2 linked regions of the Astyanax mexicanus genome follow. The protein of the gene in region 2 purifies or fractionates together with the protein of the main gene of each other region. This does not show direct contact. Links are inferred from orthologs where the notes say so. Each region holds a gene or a part of one and is shown on either strand. Other genes may lie near its edges.

Region 1 (16,873 bases), on a different chromosome or scaffold from region 2:
ATAGCAGCTTGTAGTCACAGTAGCAACACCGTGCAAGACATACCTATTTTTACATACTGCTGATTTAATGTTTTTAACTTTTACATTGCCCACAGTGCTTGGAGAGACCTCAAGTCTTTATGAATATGTCTGACTAATTAAACAAAACATATATAAACTGACATCTCTCATAAAATCTATTCATTTAGTCATTTAAAATAGAAATAACCTTAGCCGAGATGACGCCAGTCTATGCACAAACTATTAATTCTCATATAATGCTGCTTTAAAGGTCTGATTTCATGTTTTTATCATTAATATTGTGGTGGCTTCTAGTATGAATGAATGTATTGTGAGACAGTTTTTGTGCTCCTGTTTTAGATTTAGGACTTAGATTTAAAAAAAAAAAAAAAGCTCAACTCGCCCCAAAAACTGTCAATATGAGCCCGAGCCTGATTTAAACCCCACATTAATTCAGTAAGTAGTGTGGTAAAACTGAGCTTTTTAAAAACATTTTCAGGCTGTCTGAATGAGCGAAATCTGTTCAGAATGATGATAATTAACATTGCAACACTGAAGAAGCACAGACCTATTATTAAACGACAGGATTTCGGCTATTACTTATTAATATTCATGACATGCAAATGTCTCAACTTGGATTGGCTATCAGCACTGTAACACTCCCTCCACATCCCTGCAGTGGGCAGTTGCAAATCAAGGTGGGCGTGGCCATGAATCTTAATTAACAGGTTGACATCAGTCTGGGGGCTTTTCCTGATTCACTCCTTTTTCGGTCTATTTTCCTAATATTGGTTTATGCTTTTATTGGAGGCGATGGAGGTAGAAGAACAGTTTCATGTTCTAGAGCAAGTCATAAATGCTGTCTAGCTAAATAACACCTATATTGATTTAGTTAACCTGGCCATAGTAGATGATTTAAAATATATATTTAATTTTTGAACAAAAATTTTTGGTCCCTTTCTAATGAAAACACAATTACAGAATATTGGAATAAATAGACTAAGTTACCGTATTTACTGTATTTTAGTATGTTAAGGTACCTTGCCACAGTTCGGTCACTTTGCTGGTCACGTACTGCATGGCGAACTTGGTAAGACTGTGCTTAGATCTTTCCCCGTAGTATTTCTCTGGATTCTGAGGACAGAGAGACAAATCAGCACATGTACTGATTAGTACTATTATCAGGTGATTAATTCTGATTTGGATGTTTTATGCTGTTTTTGATGGTGTGTGATTTTCTCACCATCCCGGCTCTGAAGATGAACAGGCTGGGGTAGCTGCTGATTCCTTTACTGCGACACAGTCTGTTGTTATCTCCGCAGTTCACTGCGCTGATCCGTATCACTCCATCCATCTCTTTAGCAAACTCTCGCCACTGAGTAATAAAAAGAAAAATCAGAGTTATTTGCAGTCTACAGTTTTACTGATCATCACTAAGGTGAAGTGTAAAGGATGTCCCACTGATAAACTAATCCAATCCTAATTAGGCTTATAGAGAAAGAGACAAAATAAAGCTTTTTATTTATGTGATTATGTAACGTACATAAATACACCTGTATTTACAGAGTACAGGTGTACAGGTGAGTGAAAAACGTGGGTGCAGGTTACCAATAGTATGCAGAACAATATTTAGAATAAGCAAATTAAAATAGGAAATATTGAATTAACTTAAACAATAACTTAGACTACTGTAGACATTTGATATTGCTCTGTAGATAAATAGGAATAATAGGAAATATAACTGAATGTATACATATTACATGCTATATACATGTGCAGATATCTGGAGTATGTGTGTGGAAGTGCGGAAATAGGTGCAGTGTGTAGTACAGTATTATAATTTTATAGTACTTCAGCTTTTATTGGTTTTAGAATTGACTATTTTTGTTCAGTAAAGCCGGATATCAAACAGAAGGCCCTGAAACTCCAGTGAGCCACCACTGCTCTGTTGTATCGCATTTATTAATATATAACACTGCAAATAAATTAAATATAGTGATTATTTATTGTCAACTGATTTTAGGTCGACTTCGTCAGCGTATATGAGCAGAAGCAGGAGTAAGTGTGATAAGTGTAAAGCACTGTTTTAGTCAATCTCACCGTAGGAGCCAGGTCGTGACAGTGCGAGCATCGGGGAAAGTAGAAATTCACAAACCAAACTTCACCAGAGTTCACTGCAGCGTCTGTCCGAGAGACAAGAGAAAACGCTTTAACTCTTAAAGCATACATTACACTGGACATCATGTATTTTCCTATTGTCCATCAGAATAAACCATAAACCAGCCAATGAAGAAGTTAACAAGCCAATTAAACAGCAGTAGTTTAGCCCCGCCCACTGCACCAGAAAACAACAGTAGCAGCATGTGGGAGTGTGAGGACGAGTGGTCAGGAGGTTACCGGAGAGAGGTGAGGCAGAGACGCAAAAACAGCCTGGAACCAGGTAAGAATCCCTTTTGAAGTGTTTATTGTGACAAATTAAGCATCCGAACCCAAAAACAAAAATGAAAACAAAACTAAATTTACAATATATATACAAACTATTTACACGCTACACTGGTAGGAGTTAACGGTGGATTGGCTGCTACCACCACAAATGCTAATACTCAGCACAATAAACTCCCGTCGGCATACCAGCCACGCTCAACCAGCCCCCCAATAGTGTACCCGCCTGCCTTTAAATACCTTTAGCCCATCCCCGGCTAAACCAACAAGTAATTAACTTGAGGGCAGGTGGGTAAGACAACTATACATGATTGTATATGTACAATATTAACATATTTACAAACAGAGTGACATGCATGTAAACATTTGGACGTCCAGGTAAGTATTGATGATAATTTTACAATGTTAATGTATTATTTTCTCTGTTCTCTTTTTCACAGGTACCCCCAGGCTCCCCTGCCCCAGGACACCCCTTGGTCTCTACCCAGACCTTAAGGACCCGGGTGGCTCGCGCGCCGCCATTTCCACAGGATCCAGGTAAGTACTGTGTCTGTGTAAAAATGTCTTTGCAGATAAAATGACTCTGGAGTTGGTGGTGATGAATTCAGGGCCCTGACATCATCACACAGCAACTCAGACAATAAAGCATGACTGCACTATACAGCTAACGAGACAAATACACATTTTATGTGATTTAGACACTTTAAAATCATGTATATTTAAGTGTTTAAGGATATAATTCAGGTCTAATACTGCATTTTATTTGTTTGCCAAAATGTTGTGATATTGCACATCATCATTATGATATAATATATCTGGGCCAGATCACCCAGCCCTATTAAATAATTTTACTTACCAAAGTCTCCTCTGTCTAGAGTAATAATCTCTGGATCTTCATCATAAATGCCTGTAAAACACAAATCAATGTATTGGTAGTAGGTTTTAAAAACTATAAAGCATTACAGAGCCAAACACATTCTGCCTATTATTAGTATATCCTGGGTCCTGAGACCCTGCGTCCTCATATGTGGACACTACATTTCTGCTTCTCTGCACCCTGATACTTCTTTTGGTTAAACACTGACCCTCTGGTCTGATATGGAGGCACTGTCGGTACCACCTAGTGGTCACAAGACGACATTACACTCAATTGATTAAAAAACAAGTTGGCGGGAATCCCAGACAAAAGTTTCCACAGCCAGTTGAGATGTAAATGTGGGCCAGGTAAAAATACTCATTAGATTTTATTTTGAAATAAGTTTAATTCCTTTCTTTAGAGAGCTAAAATTATTGTTAAATGTTGAAATAAACTATGATTCATATATGAGGACATTGTTTTTTTTTATACTTGTTAGGTTCCCATAATCTCAAACAGATGCACACCAAACAAAAGTCCGGGTCTCAAGACTTCAAGACAGTATAATTAAAGATATAATAAATACAAATTAAACCATACCAAAATCATATCTGTAGAAGTTCCAGCTTTCGTATCGGCCCCCGTGCTGCTCATCCTGAAGCCCCTTCTCTCCGTATTTGTCGTATTTCTTTCGCAGGTCTTCGTCCTTCAGCACCTCGTACGCTCGGTTGATCTTCAGGAACTTCTCATGAGCCGTCTCGTCGTTCTGAACGTACAGAAAACACGAGTCTGAGTTACTGAGGCTGATGGCTAAAGTACTGATGTGCACAGCACATCTGAAAGCAGGCCTAGTCTATAAACATCCAGCTATTGGTAAAAAAAAGCTGGTGAAAGCGTGTAAATTAATAATTACACAGGTAGCCAAAAAGAAAGAAAAACCAACAATGGTCACAGAAATAAGTTGCATCTGAAAAAAGTATTAAGAAATAAAAATGCTATAAAAAAGGAACAAATGAAAATAAGACATACCTTTTCAATAATGCGTCAATTTTTTTTTTTTTATAAACTCATGAAACAGACCTGCATAGAAACGATGGTACCCTGAATTTAATATTTTGTTGCACAAACTTTTGAGGCAATCACTGCAATAAAACGATTCCTGTAACTGCAGGTATTTTCCAGATTGCATGTTTTAGCTCTAGGTGTTTTAGCTGTGTTTTGGGTCATTGTCCTGTTGCATGACCCATGTCCTGCGACTGAGACCAAGCTTTCTGACACTGGGAAGCACATTTCTCCACAATCTCTTTATAGTCTTGAGATTTTATTGTAACCTGCACAGATTCAAGACACTACACCCTGTGCCAAATAGAGCAAAGCAGCATTAATTGAGGCGTACCAACAATTTTGTCCACGTGTTTAATAAAACGTCCCAAATACGAAAATACAATCTTAGATCAGTCAAGATTATACTGGACCAAGATGATTACAAGAGCAGACTCGTACATTTACAGCCCACCTTAATTTACCCACGTATACATTTACTACTGCCCTTTAAAAAAATAGCAGCATTCCTTTTCTCCCCACCTATTTAAACAGAATATCTGAGAAGATAAAGATTTAATGTTATCATTAAAACAGTGGCATAAAATGTTCTTAAAATGATTTTTTTTTTCTATTTTTTCTTATCATAATTATGATATGGGACAAAATATTGTACAAAAAAAACATGGTTATCGTAACAGGTCTACAGACCAGGCTTAAATCAATCAGAAATTCACTGGGAAAAGAGGATCTGGCCTCAAAATTGACCTTTTTATAGTGAAGGATGACTCAGGTATCAGACTAATATTAACTAAGCCTGTCACAATAACTACATTATCAATTTATCGTTCAATAAAAGCACAACCTCAATCATTTTAATAATCATAGTATCGTCCCTTGTGTTTGCACTTACAAAATGCACTTATATATATTGTGACTGTGGGCGTGGCTGAAGCTTTATTAGAAAAAAATGGCCTCTATCAACACCCAAAACAGACTTAAAGAAACATAGTAATTGACTAGTTTGGCTCTAGTTGCTTAACTTTAGTGTCTCTTAGGTTTGTGTTGCCTCATGCCGGTTCAACATGTGCCAGCTGGGACAGACCGGGGCTGCACATCATGGTGTGGGGCGGACACCCCACGGTTCCCCCTGACTTTACACTTTGCAATGTGTGTGTATATATATATATATATATATATATTACACACTGAAGAACCTACTATATATAACCTACGCTTGTTCAAAGTTATGTTTAAAATGGTAATTCATTTGTTCAAAAATTACGTTATTATTTTATTAGTGTCAGATTAGTGGTCTAAAAATGGCAACAAAATCAATCAATCAACCTTTATGTAAACTAGGAGTACATTAAGGGTGGCCCTCATTTACAATGCAGCCGAGCCATTACATAGGGAAGGGATTGACATTTTCTTTATGAATTAAATAAATAAATAAAACATTTTATAAGATAAGATATTATAAAATATATATAAAACAAATAAGGCATAGAATTTAAGAGTAGGAATCCAAAAATCATATGTAAATAAAATCTAAGGTAATAAAACTAATAAAATGAATGATGATGAATAAATAAAGCTAATCACATAAAAGAGAATTTAAATAAAATATAAATAAACAATAACTAAAAACAATGAAAGAAATAAAAAAAAATAAAATAAAAAAATGAATAAATAAATATATAAAATTTAAAATTATCGTTTATCGCAATCATTTTTGGGACAAAATATCCTGCACAAACAATTGTTATTGTGACAGGCCTTATATTAACCATTAAACAAACCGCTGTCTCTGCAGATACAGTATATACAGTAGATACAGTAGATGGTACTGACCGGGTTCTTGTCCGGGTGCATGGTCAGCGCCAGCTTCTTAAAGGCCTGCCGGATCTCCCGTGTGCTGGAGTCTCTCGAAATTCCCAGTAACTTATAATAATCTTCATCTGAATGACTGGAAACCACAAGCCAGGTAAAGATAAACAGGAACAGCAGAGTTTTCCTCCAGGGCTTCAGGCAGTTCTGGACGGTGGAGACGCTGGATTTCTGGAGCCTCATTTTTGCAGAAAGTCCAGAAGATCTGAAGGAGGAGTCGCTCTTTAACGCAGGACTAATTACTGAGATCCGGGATCATCTTGAATCGGGAATTCTGTAAATACAGAGCAGAATAAAGGGTTGGAAGAGCGTCCAGAGGTGTGATTACATCCATCTGCTGTGTAGCGTGTAACACGCTGGCATACGCAGCCAGTGTTTACAGAGGGTGGAGGCTTTTTACAGGTTAATAAGCTCCATCCTGGCCACAGCAGGACGTCAGGTGTTCTGCACCCACACCACATATCACTTTACTTTTACTATCAATAATCAATAGCACCACTCAGTCAGAAAATAATCAGAAAAATATTGATAGCTTAACGTTATAATGTTAATCTCTTTGTTATATTGCATCGCATGCATTTAGCTATTTTTGTAAGATTATATTAGGAGATATTATTGTTTTTTTTAGGTCTAAAGGTCCTAGTCTTAAATGAACATTTATGAATAATGTATGCAAACAGCAACAGCATTTCTTAATACTACATTCAATTCATTGCAAACATCTGGAATATAATCAAAAGGAAGATGGATTATTATAAGTCATCAAACAAAGCTGAACTCATTCATTTTTGCGCTAGATGTGGCATAAAATCACAGAAAAGCAGTGTGTAAGACTGGTGGACTGGTAAAACAAAACGCTCTTATTGCTGTCATTTCTGCCTCTCACCCAATCAGCTCTCCCGTCTGCTCCACCCCTAAACCCATACATCACCCATTTCCCCTCCCCTTTAAGGAGTAACAGGGCTAGCCTAAACTAGCTTAATTTAAACTGCATTAATCTAATTTATACCCTTAACCAGACGAGCTCAGCTAGAACAGGAGTGTGATGTTTTAGGACTGAACTCCTCTGTTTACCCGGTGTTTAATTCCTTTATAATTATAATTATTCAGGTTATAAACTCTGTATACTACAGCTAACACACACACATTTAGCTGCCCACATTGCACACAAAACACAACACACAACACAACAGCATTATACAACACTACACATTACACACAAAACACACACACCATTACACAACACAACACAACACCTTAGACACAACATTATTCACAACACAATATTACACACACATTTACCTGTAAATATCACGGTGTATCTGCTGCACGCTGTGTCCGGGTCTCTGCAGGCTGAATACCGGTACAGTGCTACACCGCGCTGGGCACCCCACCAAACTCTGCACCCCAAGGACCTCTCTATTTAGCTGCCCTGTGCGCCTGACTTAAAATCACACCACATCACTTTAATAGCCTAATAAAGTAAATAAAAATAATTTAAAATATATATTTTTAGTAACATTTAATGAGTCACTTACACTTACTAAAACAGCGTTTCGAATTTCCAAAATTCCAGTTAGTTACACACTGGATTAAATAAATATTAAATATAAAATAACACAATTAAAAGCTATTAAAGGTTCTACCTGTAGTAATAAATATAAATATGAGCACGTAAAATTAATTCATGCAAAAAAGACGTTTTATGTAAAATGTTGTATAAAGATGGGTTCTTTTAAATTAGTACAGTGGTTATTAGCTGTGCAGGCAGGCAGGGGGTATGCGCGATTCTGTGCTCCAGTCACATCCAGCACCCTCTAAGGACCCCTCGTGACGTATTGACGGCCAGCGAGCGCCACGTCCGTTTCCTCCCAAAAAAAAACTTTTTTAATGTATTATTTTATCGAAATAATTTTACATAGTTTACTTATATAATATTTTTTTAAACAGCAATTATATAAAATATTAAATAAAAAATAAACGATAGACTAAAAACTTAACTAAAATCTATTTCATATATATATATATATATATATATATATATATATATATATATATATATATATATATATATATATATATATTATATATATATATATATATATATATATATAAGGATTATATATGTATATAAGGATTTGTTTATATATATATATATGTTGTGGCGTCGCCACTGGGATCTTCAGGGTTAAGGGGGGCGCCATGTAGAGAACAGGTGCCAGCCAACCATGATAGAGGGTGAACAGGGAGGGGCGGGGTTCGGAACTGGGAGGATGGAGAGAGCGGGAGAAATCTGGGGAGTGTTCCTTTTTCTCTGGTCGTTCGAGGTTGTTGCTGTATGGATTAACTTTTTTTGTGTGGATTGAGAGGAATAAATCTACGGAGAAAGAGATGCAAGAGTCTCCAGAGTGTCGTCCTTTAGGCCAGTTCGCCACTATATATATATATATATATATATATATATATATATATATATATATTATTATTATTTTTTTTTTTTTGCTGTAAAGGATTTGTTTACTTATTTACACAAGAAAACAATTTTATATTCCTTTATAAACAACATTATGGAGTGACATACAGTGACAGTGATACATAGTGATATATAGTGATCTGGAGAGATATAAAGTATTACACAGTGATAAATATTAAGTGATGTGGAGTGATAGAGAGTGAGTGACAGGGAGTGATAAAGAGTAATAGAGTGATACAGAGTGATAGAGAGTGATGTGCAGTGATACAGAGTGATAGAGAGTGATGTGCAGTGATACAGAGTGATAGAGAGTGATGTGCAGTGATACAGAGTGATAGAAAGTGATGTGCAGTGATACAGAGTGATAGAGAGTGATGTGCAGTGATACAGAGTGATAGAAAGTGATGTGCAGTGATACAGAGTGATAGAGAGTGATGTGCAGTGATACAGAGTGATAGAGAGTGATGTGCAGTGATACAGAGTGATAGAAAGTGATGTGCAGTGATACAGAGTGATAGAGAGTGAGTGACAGGGAGTGATAAAGAGTAATAGAGTGATAGAGAGTGATGTGCAGTGATACAGAGTGATAGAGAGTGATGTGCAGTGATACAGAGTGATAGAGAGTGATGTGCAGTGATACAGAGTGATAGAAAGTGATGTGCAGTGATACAGAGTGATAGAGAGTGAGTGACAGGGAGTGATAAAGAGTAATAGAGTGATACAGAGTGATAGAGAGTGATGTGCAGTGATACAGAGTGATAGAGAGTGATGTGCAGTGATACAGAGTGATAGAAAGTGATGTGCAGTGATACAGAGTGATAGAGAGTGAGTGACAGGGAGTGATAAAGAGTAATAGAGTGATAGGTTGTGATTCAGAGTGATAGAGAGTGATGTGCAGTGATAATCTCGGCTAATTTTCCTCCTCCAGCAGGGCATCCGTGAGAGCTGCAGGGTGGCGGTGATTCTGGGAAACTCAGCACGTTAGATTAGAGCAGACCGTCAGATGATTATCACTCAGATGTGAGACATCTGGAGCTCTCGCACCAAAGAAAAGCTGTTTTCTACAGAAAAACCCAAACATACACGTCAAGATTTTCTTTGTGTGCATTGGAACAAAACAAAATATCAGAGAAAAACATTATTTCATTATTACAAAGCAGGCAAAGTCAAATACAATAGGTCTCTCTAAGTTATATATGATGCCGCATTTAAAACTGTTTCTTAGCCTCCGCTGTCTGCAGTAGCTAGTAAAAGAGAACCCTCAGAAATACGAGTTGATCAGAGAGATGTAAAAGGTTGATGTCAACCAGTGATTTCATAGCCTCCCCCACCTCGGCTCAGGACCGCCCACAGGCGGAGCTTACAACTTCTGTTTACACAGCTAGTTAAGGTTAGCTATTTTGTGTAAGTAACTATAGGTTTAAATAGGATAAATAGGAGGTAAGAATTCAGAAACGTTAGTTTAGCTGAAAGAAATGTAATCAAGGCAGCATTCTCTGCTGCAGTGCTGTTAGCCAATCGTAGGCGATATATTTGCATGTATGAATATTTATGAGCAATCGTTTTTTTCACCAAAAAACGGCTCACATGGCATTCATTCATACTAGAGACATAATTAGACTGGTTAAAATGAATAACAAAACGATGGAATGAAATCTTTAAATATGTAAAATATATTTGGTTGCACACCCTTTTGGAAAAAAATAACTGAAATCAATTGTTTCCTATAACCATCAAGCTTTTTACACCTTTCTTACACCTAGAATTCTCCAGCTCTCACTATTTGAAGGATTTCTTCTCCCAACAGCAATGTTAGGTGGGATTTAGATCTGGACTTATTGCTTCCACTTCAGAACTCCATCTCTGGTTGCTTTCTGAAGTATGTTTAGGGTCATTGTCATGCTGGAAGACCCATGACCTACGACTCAAACTCAGCTTTCTGACACTTGGCCCAGCATTAAGACCCAAAATCTTAGCTTTTGTAATGTTCAGATTTAACGATTCATTGCACCCAGTTCCAGAGGCAAAAAAAAAAACAAACCTCAAAACATCTTTAAACCTCCACCATATCTGACTGTTGGTACTGTGTTCCTTTCTTTATAGGCTTTATTCTGTTTTCAGTAAACAGTAGAATTATGTGTTTTACCAAAAAAGCTCTATCTTGGTCTTGTCGGTCTCATCTATTTTCTTATTTTTATTTCCAATTCATTGTTGTTCTTTTACATGTTTTTAATTTGACTGCTCTTTTTTGAATCGTATTTGAATCATTCATGTTTTACTCTTATTTTATTTGTATTTGCATTTGTATTGTTATTCTTTTACATGTTTTTTTATTTGACTTCTTTTTATATTTTCTAGTTTGTAAAGCACTTTCAATGACTGATGTGCTTGCCTTGCCTTGCCTATTTTCCAAGAAGAATTTTGGCTTACTCATGTACATTTTTGTCAAAATGCAGTTTAGCTTTTTTTATATCTCTCCTACCATAGCGTATTAAATGTTGACCGATAGGTCACGCCAACACTGATGCACCCTGAGCCTGCAGGACGGCTTGAATTTCTTTGTGAACTTGATTGGGGCTGCTTATCCACCATCTGGAATATCTTGCAATGCAACCTTTCATAAATTTTTCTCTTCTGTCTATGTCCAGGGGGATTAGCCTCAGTGATATAAATTTGATTATTTTGCGCACTGTGGAAAAAGGAATGTCAAGATAAGTGTAGATGGACTTGTAAAGTTGAAATTGCTGGTATTTGTCCTTAATTTTGGTTCTCAGACAGTTCTCTTCTCATTGTTCTGTTCTCATTGCTTAGTCTTGCACACACAGACACAAATTGCAAAGATTGAGAAACTTCTCGTCTCCTTTTTCTGGTTTCAGGTGTGGTTTTTATATTGCCCACACCTGTTACTTTCCATAAGGGAGTTTAAATGAGCATCACAAGCTTTGATTTTTGAGTTTTGTGTGAAGTTATGTCAGTTTCTCTCTGTTTAAATAAGCATGTGTGTAACAAAAAGTGTAATTCCTATAATTGTCTGATAGAAATACTTAATTTTCTGGGGAAAAAAATAATGGGCACCAGCAGTTTTCAGACAGATACAGTTTAGGATCCACAATAATCACAATAATTACACATTCAGCAAACGACATACTTGCACTGTATAAAAGTATAACAACATTTACAGGTTTTTAAATGGTATTTATGTTTATTATAATACAGAAGCACTGATATTATGAAATATGAACTTCTCCTAAGCAGCTGTTCTGCACCCGTCATGCTGAATCATACACTCATGTCTCAACAGCAACAGCTTTTACATGAAACAAGAAAAATAAGCAAAATATACTTAAAAAAAGTATAACAAGCAAAGCTTAGGTGTATTATAGTGTGTGTGTGTGTGTGTGTGTGTGTGTGTGTGTGTGTGTGTGTGTGTGTGTATCGCTTAGTGCATAAGGTGCATGTTCTATCAGTTCAATCAGAACTGTAGGCTCTAACCTCAAAGCAAGATAAGGTTGTTTTTGACAGATCATTTCTAGATAAAGATTTCTGAAACTCTCTCGCTCACTCTGTCTGTTTCTGTTTAACAAGATAAGAGATTCTGTTTAATGAAAAGCAGCGTATAAGCGTACGATAAACGTGTAAAGTGTGTGCGAGTGTGAGAATTTGCACACCTGTGTAACCTGAGCAATGGGCTCAGATTAAAGCAGGCAAATGCATTCATTAGAAGGTGTATTCACAAAGAGATTAACATACACATTAATATACATACAGCTCTGGAAAAAATTAAGAGAGCACTTCGGTTTCTAAATCAGTTTCTCTGATTTTGCTATTTATAGGTTTATGTTTGAGTAAAATGAACATTGTTGTTTTATTCTATAAACTACAGACAACATTTCTCCCAAATTCCAAATCAAAATATCAAAATATTGTTATTTATAGCATTTGTTAACAGGAAAACTGAGAAATGAGAAAAACAAGTTCATATTCATAAAGTTTTAAGAGAAAGTTTTCAGAAATAATCAATATTTGGTGGAATAACCCTGCTGGTTTTTAATCACAGTTTTTTTTCATGCATCTTGGCATCATGTTCTCCTCCTCCACCAGTCTTACACACTGCTTTTGGATAACTTTATGCTGCTTTACTCCTGGGGCAAAAATCCAAGCAGTTCAGTTTGGTGGTTTGATGGTTTGTGATCATCCATCTTCCTCTTGATTATATTCCAAAGGTTTTCAATTTGGTAAAATTAAAGAAAATATAGCAATGAAAAAGTTTATAAAAGTCATGGGACAGCAGGGTGTAAGGCGATAACAAAGCGTCTTAGGAATGCTCGTGCCTGCATAAGTTGTGAGGTGTTATCTTGTGAATAGGCATTATAATCACAATATAGCAAAGTAACATAAATCAAAGTTGCACAAGTTAGAATGTTAAAATAATGCAGCTCTGGGCCTTAAATAACAGGTCTATGCTTCTTCAGTGTTGCAATGTAAAATAACATCATTGTGAACAGATTTGGCTCATTCAAACAGCCCAAAAATGTTTTTAAAAAGCTCAGATTTAATGCTCAACTTGCTAAAAAAATGTTTAAATTGGGCTTTAAATTGGCCTCGGGCTCATAGTGGCAGAACATGCACAGATTTGGGCTGATTCGGGCTGGATTGGCTGGATTTTTTGGGCCCGATCTAAGCTCTAAGTAATTTACACATGCATTACGCACAAGTTACAAGTTACTTCTGTGTGTGCAGCTCACTAAATATTACCCATAAATATCTAATCTACATTTATACTTATTTATTGTTCCTACTAACTATTCCTATTTCTTCCAAATAGCATTATAGCATTATAGCATTATAATCCCACACTTCCTTTCTTCTGGATGCAGCTATATGTTTGATGATGAGTGTAAAAAATGACTAATAACACAAGATCTTTTCCTCTTTTCCAATCCTGACGTCCTACAGAGTGACGGACGTATGCCTGGAGCTTCCCGAGCTGTAGAGGGATCCGATTCTGTACCGAGACAGAACCTCCCTCCCAATCAGACCCTTCTTGAAGAAGATCATGCAGAGCTGGTTCCTGAACTTCTTGCCGATGAAGGCGTAGAGTAAGGGGTTAATGGCGCAGTGAATGAAGGCCAGAGCCTGAGTGACGTACATGGCCGCGCCCACTTTGTTCCGGAGCTCGCACGTATCATCGATAATGTCCCCCTCGATCAGCGTGTTGATGAGTTCCGTGATGTTGTTGGGGAGCCAGCAGACCACGAAGGCCAGGACCACGCACAGGATGACCCTCATGGCCTTGTGCTTCTGGCTGTTGCGTGAGCGGAAGAGGGTCCCCATCGTCCAGCCGTAGCAGAACACCATGATGGCCAGCGGCAGGAAGAAGCCCACCGTGTGGCGGAGGATCCGCATGCCCACGCGCCACTTGTCTATGTTGTCCGCTGTCAGGTTCTCGTAACACCTGTACCCATTAGATTCCTGAAGAGCCTCGCGCTGCACCACCTGGAAGAACAACCATACGGCGTCACATCAATGTCAAAAAGTTGGGGGCGTAAAAACAACAGGTGAAAAAAATTAACCAGCGTGTTTTAACATTTTGTGTGTGTTAATTAACTTCTCGTGAGCACAAATGTGAAACTAGCGAGCAAAAAATAAAAGGGAATCGTGTGCGAGCTGAACTGAATATCCCTCTCAAGCATTATTTTTCTCCTCTTGGGTGTTTTTTTCCTCCAGAATTCTCTGCTTTTTTCACCCAAGTGAGTTTTTTCCGCTCACGTTTTGAAAGGGGTGTTATTTAAAGTTTGGGGGCGGAGCTAGGTTCGCCTCCCTCAGCGAATGCTATTGGATGATATCTCCAGGAATTGTGACGGACCGCCTACTAACAACAGCTGGAGGAGGGCGGAAAAAGAGGGACAGAAGGAGAGTTAGCTAACTAGAGTTATACTTTGATGTTGATGTGATGCATACAATCAAATTAGACCAATCAGGTGTGATACAGGTGTGATTCAGTAATACAGTGCATCACAAAGAGCATCGTCCCATTCTAAACCTATAAACATTAGTGTGTAGTTGCTCCCTCTTTGCAGTTACACTGTAAGGGCAAATGTATTTTGACATCTGCACATTACACATTACTACAGGAGCTTTAATGACGTTTAATTCTAACTGGTCGTTCAAGGTGCCTGGGCGCTCGTTCAAGGTGTCGTGGCAAGGACAGCTGTCCTCAGCCCGCTCCTTATCCACTGGGGTTCCCCAAGGTTCGGTACTGGGACCCCTTCTCTTCTCCATATACACCACCTCTCTTGGTCAGGTTGTCCGCTCACACGGATTTTCCTACCATTGCTTTGCGGATGACACCCAGCTATACCTGTCGTTCTCACCTGAAGATCACTCAATCTCTGCACGGATATCGCAGTGTCTCTCTGACATATCCTCATGGATGAAGGAGCATCACCTTCAATTAAATCTCTCAAAGACTGAACTTCTGGTCATACCAGCAAAACCATCTTTTCAACACAACTTCTCTATAAGCATCGACTCTCTCTCTCTCTCACCGACAAAGGTTGCTAGGAACCTGGGTGTTCTGGTTGATGACCAACTCTCCTTCACGCACCATGTGGCCTCAGTTGCTCGGTCCTGCCACTTTGCGCTCTATAACATCCGAAAAATTAGACCGTTCTTGACGCAACAGGCCACCCAACTCCTGGTGCAAGCGGTCGTCATCTCACGCCTCGACTACTGCAATGCCCTGCTAACTGGCCTCCCGGCCTGTGTAGTAAAACCACTCCAGATGATCCAGAATGCAGCAGCACGTCTGGTCTTCAACCAGCCAAAATGGGCACATGTCACCCCGCTGCTCATTGAGCTCCACTGGCTACCAGTTGATGCTCGCATCAAATTCAAAGTTCTTACAATCGCCTACAAGGTGATGACAGAACAGCTCCTTCCTACCTGCACTCGCTCCTGAAGGCTTACGCTACCTCCCGGCCGCTGCGCTCCTCCAGTGAACGTCGCCTCGCTTTACCAAACACTCACACAAAGCAATCCAGACTGTTCTCATACAGAGTTCCCCAATGGTGGAACAAACTACCTTCCACTACCAGATCAGGAGAATCTCTCACTATCTTTAATAAACTCCTGAAGACAGAGCTCTTCAAAGAGCACTTACTCTCCTAACACCTCTAACTAACTACCTTCTACTACCAGATCAGGAGAATCTCTCGCTATCTTTAATAAACTCCTGAAGACAGAGCTCTTCAAAGAGCACTTACTCTCCTAACACCTCTAACTAACTACCTTCTACTACCAGATCAGGAGAATCTCTCACTATCTTTAATAAACTCCTGAAGACAGAGCACTTCAAAGAGCACTTACTCTCCTAACACCTCTAACACACTAACTTCTTCTAACCCCATTTCCTTCTTCCCCTCCTTCACTCCTCTATCCTATTATTCCCCTTTGACCTCCTTTTATCCCTATCCAAAGATGTTTTACCTTTAAACTTTTTTTTACATTGTACTTGACTATTGTAAGTCGCTTTGGACAAAAGCGTCTGCCAAATGTAATGTAATGTAATGTAATATAATATAAATTAACATGGATGTACAACATATTGGGGCACATCCACACAACATTTTATCACGTCCCATTCTAAACCTATAGTAATTAATATAGATAGAAAAAAAGTATTGGGTACCAACACATCACATCACAGTTTTTGAAGCTTTGAAGTTAGAATATATGGACAAATGTATTTGGACAGCCACACATTACAAATACAGGAGATTTGGTAACGCTTTATAATACAACCTGTGTTTTAGAGGGTAAGTTCCCTTTACTTACGATGTAACTTCTCTGGATGAACCAGTACATTCTGAATACTTACTGGGTTTTACAGGTATTTAACTGTACGTATAAATAAAATACAACCAGAGAACAAGAGTGTAACACCTAGGTAACTTTCTGAAACTTACCCTGTACTTTCCCAACACTTATGGTTTAACTGTTTTCTATTAATCAGTAAAATACAAAATAGTAAGGTACAAATATAGCACAGGAGAACCTGCACTTTCCCTAAACTTGTGGTGCAATTTTCATTTAAAATTCATTTTGCCCTTTATTCATGCCAGTTATGAAGGCTTCATTCCAGTCACACTATTATTCTAATAATTCTAATA
Region 2 (16,313 bases):
AGTGTTATTTTCATTTTTAAGTGCTGGAACAAACCTATTCCTTCACTTCCTCACTCACAATTCTTGCCAGTCCAGGGGATTGAACATGTGATTTTCCATGGGTCCCAAGCCTATGTCCCAAGCCCTTTAGGCTACAGGTGATACTGTTCCGCCTCAGTCCTAGGGCTGCATGAATATTCTAGTAGTCAACTAATCTGATATATATATTTTTTAAGTCGATTAGTCATTGATTATTTCTGCCATGTCCTAAAAAAAACGATAAAAACAGCTGAACATGAGATTTAAAATACATTTAAATCTCTAGATATTGTTTAAACATGGAAAGTACTGATGTTTAATGAGTAAATATGTAATCGGTTGTGTTTAGGCACTCTTGGGGACACAAGAGTGCACATGAGACGTTTACCCATCTCCCATTGCACTTCTGTCCCCAGCACTTTGTGTAATGCAGCACTGTTACATATAAACGATTAGTCGACAATATAATTTGAAGGTGACAAATTTAAATAATCAACATTGTCGAATATATCGACTAATCATTGCAGCCCTACTCAGTCCATGTGATTTTTCACTGTGTCAGTTCTGTATCTCTTAGCTTGTAAAATGCATGTGAAAAGCATGTCCTTTAGTGGTGATACAAAGTGAAAAGAGTTCCACTTTTTTACTGTTGAAGAAGACACTACAATCCTGCTTTAGCCTTCACTTTTTCCACCAGTTTCAGATTGGCAATGACTACATTTGGAGAGAAAACAGGAAAAAAAAAACAATAAACCATTTAATATCTGACTAATGCTCAATTAATTATCTACTCTTACCAGTAAGATAAGGATATTATGTGCACTCAATTTTTTTTTCTTTGTGTTTAATGCTCAGGAGAACCCATTTTTGCAACCTTTTACTTCTAAGATTGTCAGAAGAACACAAAAGTAGTTGGGTAAATATGGAAAAAAATTGGTATTTAATAGTTTGCCAGTTTGCAGAACCTAAAACTAAACTTCACATACATTGAGAAACACTACTCCCTTCATCAATCAATCAATCTGATTAGTCCCACTGAACAACAACACGTTTCACCTCTGAGTCAAACTCCTGCACCAGCATCATCATAGCAAAACGAAAAGTGAATCTGATCTGATTGATTTCCAATTGCAATCTTTACAATTTAGTCAAAAACAACCATAAATCACAGAGAAGGAGAGCTGTGTGTGGTGTAAAGTGACCAGTCCATATACTGCCCTTTGGATAACCTACAGGCTGACCATTCTGAGAGAGCTCTTCATGAACCTCATAGCTCAACTACACTGGGCTGTGGGATAAATAGAAAATGGCACTGAAGGAATAGAAAAGGATAAACCATCAACACATCTGTTTAAAATATAATAAAAAAACACATAAGGGTCACACTGACCCAGTACAAGCCAGTTTAAGCTCCGCATTCTGAGAATCTGAGAGTGAAATTCCAGGCTGTTGAGGAACTAAACTGATGAGCAACACTGATGCTCCACATGCAGAGATATGCAGATCCTGTATCTCATACACCGACACACAATAATAGCATTTATATTATTAGTCATACGCAGACTGCAGTGTAGGTGGGCTGAGAAAAAAAAAACACTACTGGATTTCCAATACGAGTTATTGCACATACAGAGTAAACTATAGTTCAAATATATTGTAAAATAAATCTCTGAATGATTTAGTGGCTATGATGTAAACAAAGTCACTCAGCGTGGATTTGGTATGAAATGACTTGGTTACTCTGATTTCTTTACAGTAATGGTAATGGGAAGAATTAATGAATGAGAAGGTGAAGGTCCCAATACGTTCAGTACCAATAGAGTTCTTATCTTGTTATAAGGTGGTTGGTGTGGTGCAGTGGATAACACCACTTCCTGCAAGTGAGCTGCTACATCATGTGGAAAACTGGGGTTCAATTCCTGCTCTGGGTGACTATGCTGTGCTACACCAATAAGAATCCTTGGGCAAGACTCCTAACACTACATTGGGCTAACTCTGTAATAAATATAACCTTGTAAGTTGCACTGGATAAGAGCGTCAGCTAAGTGTATACATCATAAACATTAAAGGCATCTCTTAAAAAAAGGAAAGATATCTAATCTTTAGTTTACAAAAAGGAAGATGCTAGGCTAATGCTCCTAACAAACACTGGACTAAATTTGAACTCACCTGCTTCAAAACAAAAAATAATTCCTACCATGTTCTAAACTACGAACTAAAGAACTGCATGGGTTTTAAATAAGCTCAGAAAGGATACTTTTCATGAATTTACTCAGATGACAGCCTAAATACAGTGTTTGCTAGCAACATTAGCCTAGCATCTCCTGTTACTAGAGTCATTACTGAGATGAGATTAGTGACAGTCTAATTCCAGTGTTTCTAAGCAACATTAGCCTTCTTAATTTACAACGAAGATGCTAGGCTAATACTGCCCAAAAAAACGAATTACATACATAAATTAAATCTTGATTTAATTGCTTAAAAACTAAAACTAAAATAAGTCATTCAATGTTTTAAACTACACAGATTTGTCTGATGCAAATTTACTTTTTGGTGAGTTGAAGATTTTTTGAACATTACAATTAACATTCTTAAAACATTAAATCAGTCTAAATATTTTATTTAACGTTTTTAAATGTTCTGGTAACATTTCCTTTCTCACAAACATGGTCACTTGTGAATGTTTCAAATTTTAGTTTTGGGATTGTTACTTAAGTTACTTAAGTTTCCATGATGTTAGTATTCAACTAGATGGGAACCATTATAAATGTAAAATGTTTCCACAATATTTCTGGGACATTATTTCTGTAACCTTCTTGGAACATTTTTGAAACATTGCTAAATATTTTTATAACGTTCTCTGTTAACTGGGATTGAATTTATTGAGGTGAGGATTGAGACGTCTATATCCAAAGTAGCCTAGCCTAGCATCTCCCGTTCTTAACCAGAGAAACAAACTTGGTATATTAAACATATCGGAATATAGGGTTTGTGATAAATCATGTTTATTGGATTTCTCAACAAACTACTTATATACCTATAATGAGTATCAAAAGGCTGTATAAAAAACGGAGGGCAGCTCCTGAGAATTGCTCCCAAGAATAACGTCCGCTAACATTGGCACAACGTCAGCTCAATGCTGGGCTTCGCTCAGTCACGATCTTCCATCTGCCGGCTGGGTTCATTGCTCCTCACCCATCGAGCAGCAGTGGGCACTGCGCCAGCTCATATGGGCCACCACACACACACGCACAAATATACACACATACTGTATACACACAAACACAACCAGGTATTTATACACCTACTGGGGGTGGGGGGGTACATGCTTCATCGAAAAGTCATACACAGAGCTCCTGTTACTGGTCTGATTGGTTTAGGCGGATGTGAGGTGGGGATGGAATAATGGCATCAGAGAGATGGAAAAAGCTTTCCCCATTCAATCAGAGCCCTTTAGTGCTCCCTCTGGATCCGAGCTCCCATTATTTAAAGCCCTAAAAAAGCAACAAGCATCCATCTCAGCCGCCCAGAGGCTGGATGTGAACGTGGGGGCCGTTAACCTCGCCTTCATAATTCCATTCCATTTCTATAGTGCAGAGCAAATCCCAGACACATGGTAAACCCAGTCACCCAAGACACAAACACATACTCCAGCAGGGGAGACTTTAGGTCTGGTGGAGGTTTCGTCTAGGTACACATACGCAATCAATGAGCATGTCTGTTATAGACTGTATGGGTAAAGTACTGGGGCATCTGTCTTTTTTTCCCCCCAAAGTCAATGTGATTCATTAAAAAAAGAGAGAGTTTATCCAGCTATTTGCTAGAGTTACAGCCTCTACTTTCAAGAGAGGACTTCCTATTAGATTTGGAGCATTGCAGTGAGAAAATGATTGCTTCCATCCACAGTAGCAAAACATGGATGGACCAATCACAGCTTGACTCCTGAGCTGAAGGAACATGATGCTCTCGGGAGGTGAATTGTTGAGGGCTTTAAGAAATGACCTACAGACCCTGAAGCAAGCTGTCAGACTACAGCTACTGATAACCTTCACTTCTTTGTTGTTACAACCTTCCTCTAGCCTTTCAAGTCCAAGCTTTCAAGTCCTAGAAACCTAAGGTAGTATTCTAGCAGGTTTTGAGAGACCTTCTCTACAGAGCAAAGAGACACTGGACAAACCAATCACATAATGGTGATGCTGGCGTGTTAAAGGGTTCAAGAGGTGAGATGTGAAAGTGGTAGTTCATGCCAGAGGGAGCTAAAAACCAGACTTAGAGTCCTATCAGATTTTGAGGTTCCTTGTATACATAGCCAAAGGTCCTTGTACAGACGAATGACAGCCTTATCTCTGGGACAGCTGTACATTGTATTGGTTGGAGGCAAACTGTTGAAAGGTTCAAAAGGTTACCAGCAAGCTGTCAGGATGCTGCTACCCAAAACCTTCTCATCAGCTTTTACAGCCAATGACCTCTTCTTCTGCCTCCTCTGTCAAGGCTGACATATTATGAGCAGAAATTGCAGAGAAAGCACTTTGCGCTGAGTGATGGAGAGGGGGGGAAAGTGGTGAAACATGGTGGGGGCAGCTAGAAATCAGAGTTCTATATTGTAGCAGGTTTTGAGGGACCATCTCTACAAAGACAAGAGTCCCTACACAGATCAAACACAGCCAGACTTCAGGACCAGGGGGGAAAAAGGGCGGTGATGGATGTGATGGTTGGAGTGTTGAGGGATTTAGGGGGTCATCCATATAACACCTTTTCTGCTACTTGCTGCAACCAATGACTTTTAGTCTCTTTTGCCTCTTTCATCAGATCTGAGCAGAAATGCACAGCAAGCACTTCACTCTTAGAGATGGAGAGAAAAAGTGGTGAAAAATGGGAACCAGAGGGAACTAGAAACCAGATACTAGAAACCACTTCTATACATAACCAAAAGACCCTACACCAACCAAGAGGTCATTGCTAGCCCTTGAAGCAGGCAAGCTGTTAAGCTGCGGCTACAAATAACCTTCGCATTTGGTTGATACAACCAGTAACCTCCCCTTCTGCCTCTCCTGTCAACACTGAACATTTATGAGCAGAAATTGCACAGCGAGCACTTCACTCCCAATGATTGAGAGGGGAAAGTGGTGAAAAAAGGTGGAGAGATCTTGAAACCTGAGTTAGAATTGTACCAGCTTTTAAGAGACATTCTGTACATCAAAGAGAATCCCTGGAAAGACCAATCACATCTTGCCTCTTGATTCAAGTGAACATGATGGTGGTGGAAGGGGGAGGGTGGGAGGTTCAAGAGGTGACCCATATATCCTGAAGCAAGCTGTCAATCTACAGGCACAAATAACCTTCTCTCATGGTCACTACAACCAATGACAATATTTTGTCATCTTGTCAAAATTGACTATTTAATAAGCAAAAATAGCATGGCAACTACTTGGAAATAAAAAGGGGAAAGGGAGACTGGGACCTAGAACCCTGTGTTGGAAGTCTATCATGGCTTAAGGAACCTTCTCTGCAAAACAAAGAGTCCTTGGACACAGCTACCAATAACCTTCTAGTCAGATTGCTACAACCAATGACCTTCCCTGTCAAAGGTGATAATTATGAGAGGAAAGTGCAGACAAAGTAGTTGTTTCTCAGAGACAGCGAGGGAAAAGTGCTTGAACATGGCTAAGGGACCTATAAACACGAGTTCTAAAACAGTCTTCTTGCAGATTTTGAAGGACATTATCTCTAGACATTGAAGACCCTCGAAACCAGCTGTCAAGGACTATAACTGCTGACAACCTCATTCTCTGGTTGTTACCACCAATGACCTCCTCTCCTGCCTCAAAACTAACATTTATGAGAGTAAATAGCTGAGAGGTGGAGAGGAGTAAGAGGTATAATGTAATGGAAGGACCTATAAACATTGAAGGATTGTCAAAGTTCTTTGGAACAATCGCATGCTGATTCCTGAGCTGGTTGGATATGGATAGTAGTGGTGGTGCTGGCGGGATGCAGAGAACTGAACAGTTCGAGAAGTAACCAGTAGACGCAGAAGCAAGCTGTCAAGCTGCATCTAGCAGTAACCCTCCTCCCTCGTAGGAGTCCCTGGACAGAGCCTTCCAGGTCCTGACTTGTAGGGCAGATATGGACAGGGGGAAACTGGTGCAATGTAGTGAAAGGTCCTAGAAAGACTAACTAGAGTTCTTTTAGGTTTTAAGAGACCTTCTCTACATAACACAATGTCCCTGAATGGGCAGATTGTAGTCTGAGGTCACCTAGTCGAGGGTCAAGCATTTGATTCTAAGAAATGGGGAGGGGAGGTCGTAAAATGTGGTAGAATCGAGCCCCTTGGTGGACTATTAACAGTCTGACTCCAATGTCAAGCACTTGATTCTAAGAGATGGAGACGGAAAGTGGTGGAACGTTGTGGAAGGTCCTAGAAAACGAATGGAGTTGCAATAGATAATGAAATGAAATGAAGACAAACAAACAGCTATATGAATGAACCAGATGATGTCCTATACCTCAGCAATGGATGTGTGTTTGTAGGTGTGTGTGTGTGTGTTTAAAAACTTAAATCTCTTAGTAATCTACGGAAGCGTGATTGCATCAAAACAAAAAGAATCAGGGCGGCATATTTTCCCTCTCTCTCTCTCTCTTTCTGACTGAACTGGATGTTCTGTGTTATTCCCGTCGGAGCGACAAGCTCACGTGGCGTTCTGGCCCCTTTAGCAAAGACCAAACACACACACACAAACACAAATACACACACACTGTCTCTCTCACTCTATTACACTTTATCTCTATGTACACACTTACTCTGGCTTCTTGACTCTAATTAACATCCATCTGAGCATCTGCAGTACTCCCATGTCACTTGTACTTGTTACTTAGCCACAGCTGCAGCGTTTGTGTAGTCCACACACATACATCCACACTCACACACACACACACACTTACAAAGCAGTTGAGCATGGAGCAGGAGACACGGACGGCCAGGCTCATGGCGAGAGGGGGCAGGGCTCAGTTGCCCAGGATACACACACTCGGAGGAGCTGCACGATCGCCGGCAAAACCATCCTTCCCCCAGTGGACACTCCGGCTTCTCCTACTCCTCTCTTCTCTCTCACTTCTTTCTTGCTTTCTCTCCCTCTCTCTTACTTTCTCTCCCTCTCTCTTACTTTCACCTACACTCACATTTGCTTGCTCTCTTGCTCATTTGCAGAAGACACGCCCCAGCCCCCCTCCTATTCCTCTGCACGTGCCGGGAGGGGGGTATCACCGAGGTGGACGAGGTGCCGGTGGCGGAGAAGAGACTGATGGAGAGGGAGATGCAGGTTTGGTCCAGTTGCCGGGTGACCCTGTTGCTCGAGTGGCCGAGAGAAAGGACAGTCCATGGATAGTCTGTATTGCGCGAGAGGAGGAAAGAGGAGAAATGGAACGCCGGCAGGTGGACTGGATGGGAGGGGGCTGGTTGTGAGAGAAAAAGAGAGAGCGCAAGAGAGAGAGAGAGAGAGAGAGAGAGAGAGAGGTAGAGAGAGAGAAAGGGAGAGATAGAGAGAGCATGCAGTGGAGGGGGTTGGGGGGGTAAAAAGCGAGTGCTAGGGTATTGCCTGATGTTAAGCTCCACCCACAGTTGCATCGCATCCTTCACTCACGTGCATCCTCTCACTCAGCCTCTCTCTCTCTCCTCGCTCCCTCCCTCCTTCCCTCGTTTGTTCACCCTTCACCGACATCTCATCTGCACCAGCCTGCCACCTCAGCAACAGAGCAGACGCCTCGAGAACACTGCAGCTAGAGCCGAGGATGCCTTCCATCCTGTGTGCAACTATGCCTGTGAGCGCACACACACACACACACACACCTATAGACAAGACAATGCTCGTCAAATGTATGACTCTCTCACAATGACTTACTAGGTTCATCTTAATTTATTGAGTGTTGTCTCTTGTTTGTTCTTACTCTTGTTCTGTCTCTCTCTCTCTCTTTCTCGTTCTTTTGTTCTCTCTCACATTCTCTCTCTCGTTCTTTTGTTCTCTTTCATCACGCACACTCGCGCACGCACACACTCACACATGCTCAAGCTCTCTGATGTGCTCCCCTCAGTGCTGCATGGCTGGGCAGCAGGAGCAGGAGGCGCAATGCATCAGCGAACAGTCACGATGGTCGAGAGAGGTAGCGAAGGAGAAGGGAGAACAGAGAGAGAGAGAGAGAGAGAGAGAGAGAGAGAGAGAAAGTAATAGAGAGGAGCATGCAGCGTGCACCAATGACACAGCAATCTCCATCAGCTCCCCCTCCCTTTTCTTTAACCTCTCTCTCTCCATCTCTACCACACGCGCTCTTTCTCTCCATCAGCCTCATTCTCCGCAGCCTCCCAGCATGCAGTGCTCTCTATCTCTCTCTCTCTCTTTATCTATCTCTCCCTGTCTGTCTATTACTTCATGGCAAAGGCACACTGTTCCCTAAGAGTTCCCTCCAGCTCCACATCCCCCACCCTCACCCAGCGTGTCAATCGTGACCGTCCAATGCCTGAGGTCCTCTGCAAAGAACACATTTGTGTGTGTGTGTGCGTGTGTAAGAGAGAGAGAGAGAGAGAGAGAGATCATGGGAAAAATCTTCCTTTAATGAATGTTAATGCAAACAGAGTCAAGTGGGTGTGAATGACTGAAAGTTACACAGAAAGTGAAAGTAAGTGAACCTTGGCCAAGATATACATATGTCCAAATCTGTGTGAACACTCCTTCTAATAAAAATACTCTACATTAAGTTGTACCTATTGCAGACACAAAACTGCAAATGCACAATATTTATAATACCCTAAATTTTGAAACTCCTGCATTTGGACTGCAATTAATAAAACAGGAGGACTAGTGAGGTTTCAGGCTTTCTTGGTCACCTGACATCTGTTCAGTAGCTCCTTAATTTCCACTCGCTGTTGTTTTTACGTGGGTCTCCGTGAAAACCTGATGCATGCAGGAAAAACTGTATATAAACCAAAAGCAACATTTTTTGGGGAATTTTTATAACAAATTTCATTGGGACCCACAATTCTTATAACAGCAATTTACTGCATTGTTAAAAAATACTATATTGTTACAATTTTAATTCTCCCAGACTGGATTGAGGATCCCCCCCCCCCTCCAAAACCATCCCCACCTGTCCGTCTCAATTACAATCAATCTTATTATCCACCATAAAACGTGACCAGAGTATTAACCCCCCATTTAAAGGCAGCTGCTGCGAGGTGTAATGTTACAGAGATGGGAATCTCCCCTCTGGCAGTGAGGTAATAGGGTGTTGCAGCAGGGTTAATCAGATCAGATGAAGCGTTACTTTGCGCATCTTGCTATCTCTTGTCTTACAGTACAATCAGAGCATGAAAGAGAACAGACAGGTAATGTGTTTGTCTGACCATATTAAACACTTAATGGCAGGAAAGTGGGTTTAAACAAAAAATACATCAGAACAAGATTTGCAATTTTTACCTCTGTGCATCCAGATGCCCTGTTTTAATTCTAACAACAGTTGTGGTTAGGCATGCAGCTAACATTTAGCAACAAATGATTTACAAAAACAAACGATTATACCAATTAGGGGTGTTATTTTTTTTTAATATTGTTTCTATTTTTTATAGACTCAATTTGTGAGAGAAACCAGTCTGTTGTATTTGCATTATATAATTTTGTCAAATAATACTCTATTTTTAATTTTTAAAGTTTTCTTTAAAATAGTTAACTTTAAATCTTGTCTTGTCACACCCCTAATACCAATCAATGTCTAAGCTGGGCTTTGTTTGTGTGTCTGAGGTGATTGATTAGCTTTGAAAAACACATTTTAATTCATATTAATTTATATTTAATTTATGCAGTGGTTAAAAAAGTGGCAAAATGAATAAAAAACTGTGCCAAAAAAACGTGTTAGGTATTTGACCTTCAACGCAAAGCTGCATTTTGTTTCCTTTCAGTCAAAAATGTACACTTTATCTCTAGTGATGTTCATTAAATATGGTAACAGAAAGATTTAGAGAAGATAATATGAAATGTATTTGTTACAGTCCTATACTTTAATGCACTGATTCCAGTGTAATTTTTGTATTAATTTTATTATTTTATATATAAAAGTCAACCTGAACAGAGAGTGAGTGAAACGTGACTTCCCCTTCAGTGTTCCTGATCTACTCCTGATACAAGCCCACAGCCTCAGCAGCTATTTCAGGAAAAGAGGGCACCCCCAATTTCATTCTACTGAAGATGGGCACAGGCAGACAGACAGCCACTTAATGGGAGGAAAAAAATATTTTTGGTTTAGAGACAAAAGTAAGCCATACCATGTTCTAAACTAGTGTTCTGTTGATTTTGTATTAAGTATCGTAAGTATCTGTATCGGTAAGTATCAGTATAAGTCAGTATAAGATACTGGAAGAACATCACTGGTGATATATTTTCTCTACCACTGTTCCCTGCAACTAAACTGTGAATTAAAAATGATTGTGATACTGAGAGTCAATACAGTGTTGGATAACACAACACCTCAAAACAAACACCTGGCATAGCCGCTTGTTACTCATATACTTATGATTAGCCAGAGTCAGGTAGGAAGAAAAACATCACCTCTGCACTTAATTTAAAGTCCTCTATTCAAAGTGCAAAGACCACCCAGACCATGCAGCTCTGACCTGATTCTGGGTTTGGCATCACCACAGCTGACGTCAATGGTCCTGCACACACATACCTGGAATGAAGTTTAACTACGACTTGCTTTGACTACCATCAAGATGTGTACACTATACGGACAAAAGTATTGTTACTTCTATAATCAAGGGTTTTGAAGAGTTTAAAGGAGTAATTGTCTCTACAGTCCAGCGAAGACTCCCCAGCTCATCCCAAACTCCCAGCTCATCCAAAGCTCGTCGCAATCTCGTCCCAAACTCATCCAAAGCTCATCCTCAAATCATTCCCAGCTCATCCTATGCTCATCACAAACTCACCCCCAATTCATCTCAAACTCCTCCCCAACTCGTCCCAAGCTTATCCTCAACGCATCCCAAACTCCCAGCTCATCCAAAGCTTGTCGCAATCGCGTCCCAAACTCATCCAAGGCTCATCCCCAAATCATTCCTAGATCATCCCCAGCTCATCCCAAACTCACCTCCAATTCATCCCAAGCTCCTCCTCAAATCGTCCCAAGCTCGTCCCAAACTCATTCCCAGTTCATCCCAAGCTAATTCCAAACTCGTCCCCAACTCATCTAAACTCCACATCAACCCATCTCAAACTTGTCCCCAACGCATCCCAAGCTCATCCCAAGCTCATCCCAAGCTCCTTCCAAACTCATCCCAAACTCATCCCAAACTCCCAGCTTATCCAAAGCTTGTCGCAATCTCGTCCCAAACTAATCTAAAGCTCATCCCCAAATCATTCCTAGATCATCCCATGCTCATCCCAAACTCACCTCCAATTCATCCAAAGCTCATCCCAAACTCATTCCCAATTCATCCCAAGCTAATTCCAAACTCGTCCCCAACTCATCCCCAACCCGTCCCAAACTCATCCCAAACTCATCCCAAACTCGTCCAGAGCTCCTCCCCAACTCTTTCCAAGCTCGTCCCAAACTCATTCCAAGCTCGTCCCAAGGTCATCCTCAACTCATGACAAGGTCATCCTCAACTCATCCCAAAGTCATCCTCAACTCATCCCAAGGTCATTCAAATCTCATCCCAAGGTCATCCTCAACTCATCCCAAGGTCATCCTCAACTCATCCCAAAGTCATCCTCAACTCATCCCAAGGTCATTCAAATCTCATCCCAAACTCAAGACTTAAAGCATAGTGTATATTAATATAACACATGCATCTCCAAAACAGCAACATCACAGAAATTAAGACATTTTGACACAGAGCATGGAACAGTTTCTGTGTTCAAATTATGTAGTAAATTAAAAAGTGACAAAAATGGAGATACTTGTTTTTTATTGGACAGTGACGATATGAAAAACGAAATAAGAGAATCTTCCATTGCTTCACATACACATCATGAACACACAAACCAACACCAAATCCAAAGAGCTCTTCATGTGTGTGCATCAGGTGAGGTGGTCACATGCTGCATGTTTACCTCCCCGCCCTCCGTCTCGCTCTGCTGCCACTTTAAAGCAGCCGCTGGGCTGCCGTGGGGCAGAGGAGCTCACGGTCCACTTCTTTGGACCTAAGCCAGTCCTGGTCCAACAAAACAGAACAGAACTCAACACGGCCTTCTTTTGTTCTAGAGCAGATCAAAACCAGAGCGGACCAGATAGTAGGGGACGGGACGGGGATTAAACAAGCTGTACGGAAACAGATTAAAACCATTGTGCGTGGGTGGGGATTGTGTTCGTGTGTGTGTGTGTTTCAGCACCCAGTTTGTGCAGTAGACATGATGGCAGGCAACCTCACACACGTGACAAAGTAAGCATAAACACACAGGACATCTGAGTCATGGATTCTGGATTTAAGAGTTCTTCCCGGAATTCCAGCAAGTGCATATGGAAAAACTTTCATCTGTTGCATATAAAAACATCACACAGAGCTCTTTTATGAAGTTAGAAGAAAGTAGGTCAACTAAAATAATATAAAAAACATAAAAAACCTGTTGAGAAACGAGCAAAAAACAGACTAATATTAACTCAACCTCTATTCTTTAAAATTGCAACATTATTGCATTATTATAATTTAACATAGTAATAGACTAAAGAAGGAAAACGTAGGCTGTGTTCACACCACAGGTAAAAGTGGCATAAAAACACAATCTTTTTGATAACAGTACGTAACACAGATAAATGAGTTAAATGAGTAGCAGTGTTAACAGCAAAAACACACTGAATATGACATTTTAGTTTGTATGATGTGACATATGAAGTGATGCTTTGACAATTCCACTAAACCAAGCATGTGCCCAATTCTGCACCTCAAGTTTTGTTCTCAATCATTATTTTCATAGTCGCTATAAGGTCGCTAAAAAAGTGGCTCAGATCTTTGGAACTATCAATTTTTTGCATCCAATACATCAACTACTGCCTAATGTGTACATCCCATCCCTTGACAGATACCATTACGACATGACAATGAACATCTTAACATTAGAGACTAATTGATTAAATAAATAAGTTTGCTTTCTGTACCAAATCATAAGTATATGGTTTATAGGGTCAAACTTGCACTTTAAACTTTCAAACAAAACCCCTGGTACCCATAAAGTATGGCAGGGGTTTGCAATTAAGTCTGGCTGTGGGCCAGATACTTTCCAAGTCATTATGTTGCAGGCCACAAAAAAAATGCTGTAAGTGTAAGGAAGTGTAAGGGGATGGAGTGCTACAGACTAGTAGCTCTCCAGCCCAGAGGGCTGTTGAACCCAATTGCAGAACAGTTGAATTCAAAGCAGGTAAACCCAAGAAGAAAAGAAAAGCTTAATAAACAACCATGCGGGATTGAACCCGTGTCGTCAGAGTCGCGGTCCAATACACTACCGCTGCCCCGGCTAGTAAATTGGGACAGGGCCAGGAAAAAAACACCCTTATAAGGAAATAGGGAGCCAAAGAACTGGTGGAAAAACTAGAACGAACAGAAACTAAATTTAATGCCAAGCGCAACCGAGAGACAGGGGAGGTATGTAAACAAAAGCTCTCCATAGAAGCATCATCCATATCTGGCCCGCAGGCCACCTAGTGACGATCCCTGGTTTATAACTTCAAACTTATACTTTAAACCTTTAAACAAAACCCCTGATACCCATAAAGTATGGTGTTCAAAAAAAAATCTCCAAATATCAAAGTACAATATTGTTGCCATAACACTGATTCTTATGTTCTAGGAAGAAGAAATACATTCTCAGGCTGATTCAACAGCAGCTTAATTGACCCAAAACCAAACATATCCTTATTAATCACATCACTATCCTCACATTAACTGCAGAACACCACTTCTACCAACTCCAGGCATCACTCGCTCAAATAAACACACAGAAGCGGCTCCTACAGAGCAGGTACTGTATAAAGCAGCCGCTGACTTCACTTTGGACCTCACTGCTGTGGAGTCTGCAGTGTGTCAGAGGTGCAGGCTGGCAGCGGTGAGCGCAGGGCGTAAGCAGCAAGTGCAGAGGCGGCCACAGGAGGCCCGGGCACAGATGCAGCTCTGTTGTGTTTATAGAACACCCTAAGTGTTTAATGATCGCCGCTGGGACGCGTTCAGCGTTCCGAACGAAACATGACTTCATAACGAGGGGGAACCTGGCCAACGAGCCACGGCTGCCTGGAGTTTTGGCTACTTAGTGGAGTACACACTCTTACAAGTGCTTACACTTGAGGGAAGTGGCATCATGAGGAGCCTGGAAAAATGTGGCGTGAGGGAAAACTGGCACAGTGGCTTTATCCTCCGGGTCCATAAAGCTGGACATGCAACACAAGTGCTTAGTTGATCTCTACTGTACATGTTCAAATGTCTACTGAATGCTCATTGTGAGCAATAGGCTCCTTAGAGTTGGTCTAGACCCTGTATTAGGGGTGGGCGATATGGCCCTAAAATACTATCACGAAATTTACTCTAGCTGATAACTTAAAAGCAACCAAATCCTCACAGCAATGCTCCAGAATGTAGTAGAAATCATTCCTTGCACAGCAAAGACATTTACTCCATTAAAAGCAGGAAAATGTTTTTTTTTAATACTCTTGATTTCAAAAGAACCAAACAAATGAGCATTTGTCCCAGCAATTTTGTCCATATAGAATAATCTGCAGTCTTGACACACTTTTTTAATTGAGACACCTTAGTAAGAATTTTGCATTATATTATAAATGATAGAATTTTCTCAGCAGAGCCTAACCGAAAATATATATTGTGTAGAACCAGAAAAGATGGGCTAGGTCTAGACGATATATTGAGTTTTAAAAAGTTATCAATATATTTTTTCATACAAGATATAAGCTAAGACAAAATTGTGTATATCAATATATTCCAATTCCAATAATCAGACATTAAATAAATCTCTAGAATATATCTAATGTTGAGATGCTGTTCTCTCCAGTGGTCTAAAGGCTTCCATTATGATTGGGAGATCACTGGTTTAAATCCTGGTCATCTAGCTTGCCATCAAAAGAAATTTTGAAATAAAATGGAAAAAAAAAGAAAAAGAATAAATCTCATTTTTATCTACAGCTGAATGTTAATAACAGTGTCTGTATATAATCTGAAATATTAGGCTTTGCCTCAGAAGTGACTTTTTGTTATTACATTATGGGATAAAAACATTTCAAGATAGATACCTTATATCTCCATTCAGCTAAATGATCAAGAAATTATAAAGATATATCAGTTTTGATCCATATCGCCAACAAATCATTGTAACTAGGTTTTAAGTATGAACTATATTGAACATATTGATCTCCAAGTTGAGTTTTCTCAAATATCCACAATATATGCACACTTAGAACCGGGTGGTTACCTAATGGTTATCTAATAATTTAATGTGAAATTTAATGGGGGGGAACTTCTCACATGTGGAACAATAACAGAAAACACAGAGGAAGAACCCTCAAGAAATGTTGTAAAAATCAATATTTTATTTTATCACAAGTGAAAGAAGCTTTTTTGTTGTTGCTGTGACATATAAAACAAATACAATGAAGATGAAAGAGCCCAGAAGGACTCCAATATACACAGTTAAGTCACTACAGCCTGTGCTTTGCTATATCTTTGTCCAGAATCTGTGATTTACACACGCACCAGACTAAACCTCAGGATTCAATGATACTTTAGAAAAAGAATGACCACAAGAGGGCATTGTATGTTCTGTAGAAATCAGTGTTGAGGCTGAGAGAAGCTTTTCTTTACCTTTGTGAGAGCAGGAGGAACACGTTGCTAATAGCTGTGGAAACTGGATTCTGAGAGTTTCCTTCAGTGCACTGAGGGGAGAGTGTTTACTGGATGTCCAGTGAGCGTTTAAGAGCGGATGTATGCAGGAGGATTGCCTACTTTTCCTCTCATTGCGCATTCACACACACACACACACATGCTTCAAAGACATCCTAACATCTGCTTACTACCCTGAGGGGGTTTTACAAGCATTTCTGCTCTGACCAAAAAGAAAAAAAAAAAACAGAAAACTGCAACAGGACTGTACAGGTCAGAATGTTCTCCTGGATATAATGAAACTCCACAAACCTGCAAAAAAAAAGTCCTATATGTAATAATAGTAAGGAACTGCACAGGAAATTTACTGCACAGGACCAGAGTAAAGCCTCCCTCCTGCAGTAATCCCATAATAAACAAAGGTCTGCTGTTTATC

What was found.
Region 1: the proteins of mtmr4 (region 2) and dnajc10 purify together in Homo sapiens (affinity purification with mass spectrometry; 3 studies listed by BioGRID and IntAct, counting the BioPlex papers as one, with this or other methods). This does not show direct contact. The link is inferred for Astyanax mexicanus from reciprocal best matches to the Homo sapiens genes MTMR4 and DNAJC10.

What each region holds. Positions count from the first base shown.
Region 1 is NC_064418.1:49,784,219-49,801,091, reverse strand, and holds the start of dnajc10 (dnaJ homolog subfamily C member 10), read right to left. Parts: upstream 7,640-16,873; 5' UTR 7,532-7,639; intron 6,504-7,531; 5' UTR 6,413-6,503; coding exon 6,194-6,412; intron 4,065-6,193; coding exon 3,899-4,064; intron 3,350-3,898; coding exon 3,299-3,349; intron 2,184-3,298; coding exon 2,101-2,183; intron 1,376-2,100; coding exon 1,244-1,375; intron 1,135-1,243; coding exon 1,041-1,134; intron 1-1,040. Other genes in the region: cxcr2 (C-X-C chemokine receptor type 1), read right to left, coding at 13,653-14,198. UniProt on the Homo sapiens protein: Endoplasmic reticulum disulfide reductase involved both in the correct folding of proteins and degradation of misfolded proteins.
Region 2 is NC_064408.1:12,989,113-13,005,425, reverse strand, and holds the start of mtmr4 (myotubularin-related protein 4), read right to left. Parts: upstream 7,532-16,313; 5' UTR 7,006-7,531; coding exon 6,961-7,005; intron 1-6,960. UniProt on the Homo sapiens protein: Lipid phosphatase that specifically dephosphorylates the D-3 position of phosphatidylinositol 3-phosphate and phosphatidylinositol 3,5-bisphosphate, generating phosphatidylinositol and phosphatidylinositol 5-phosphate.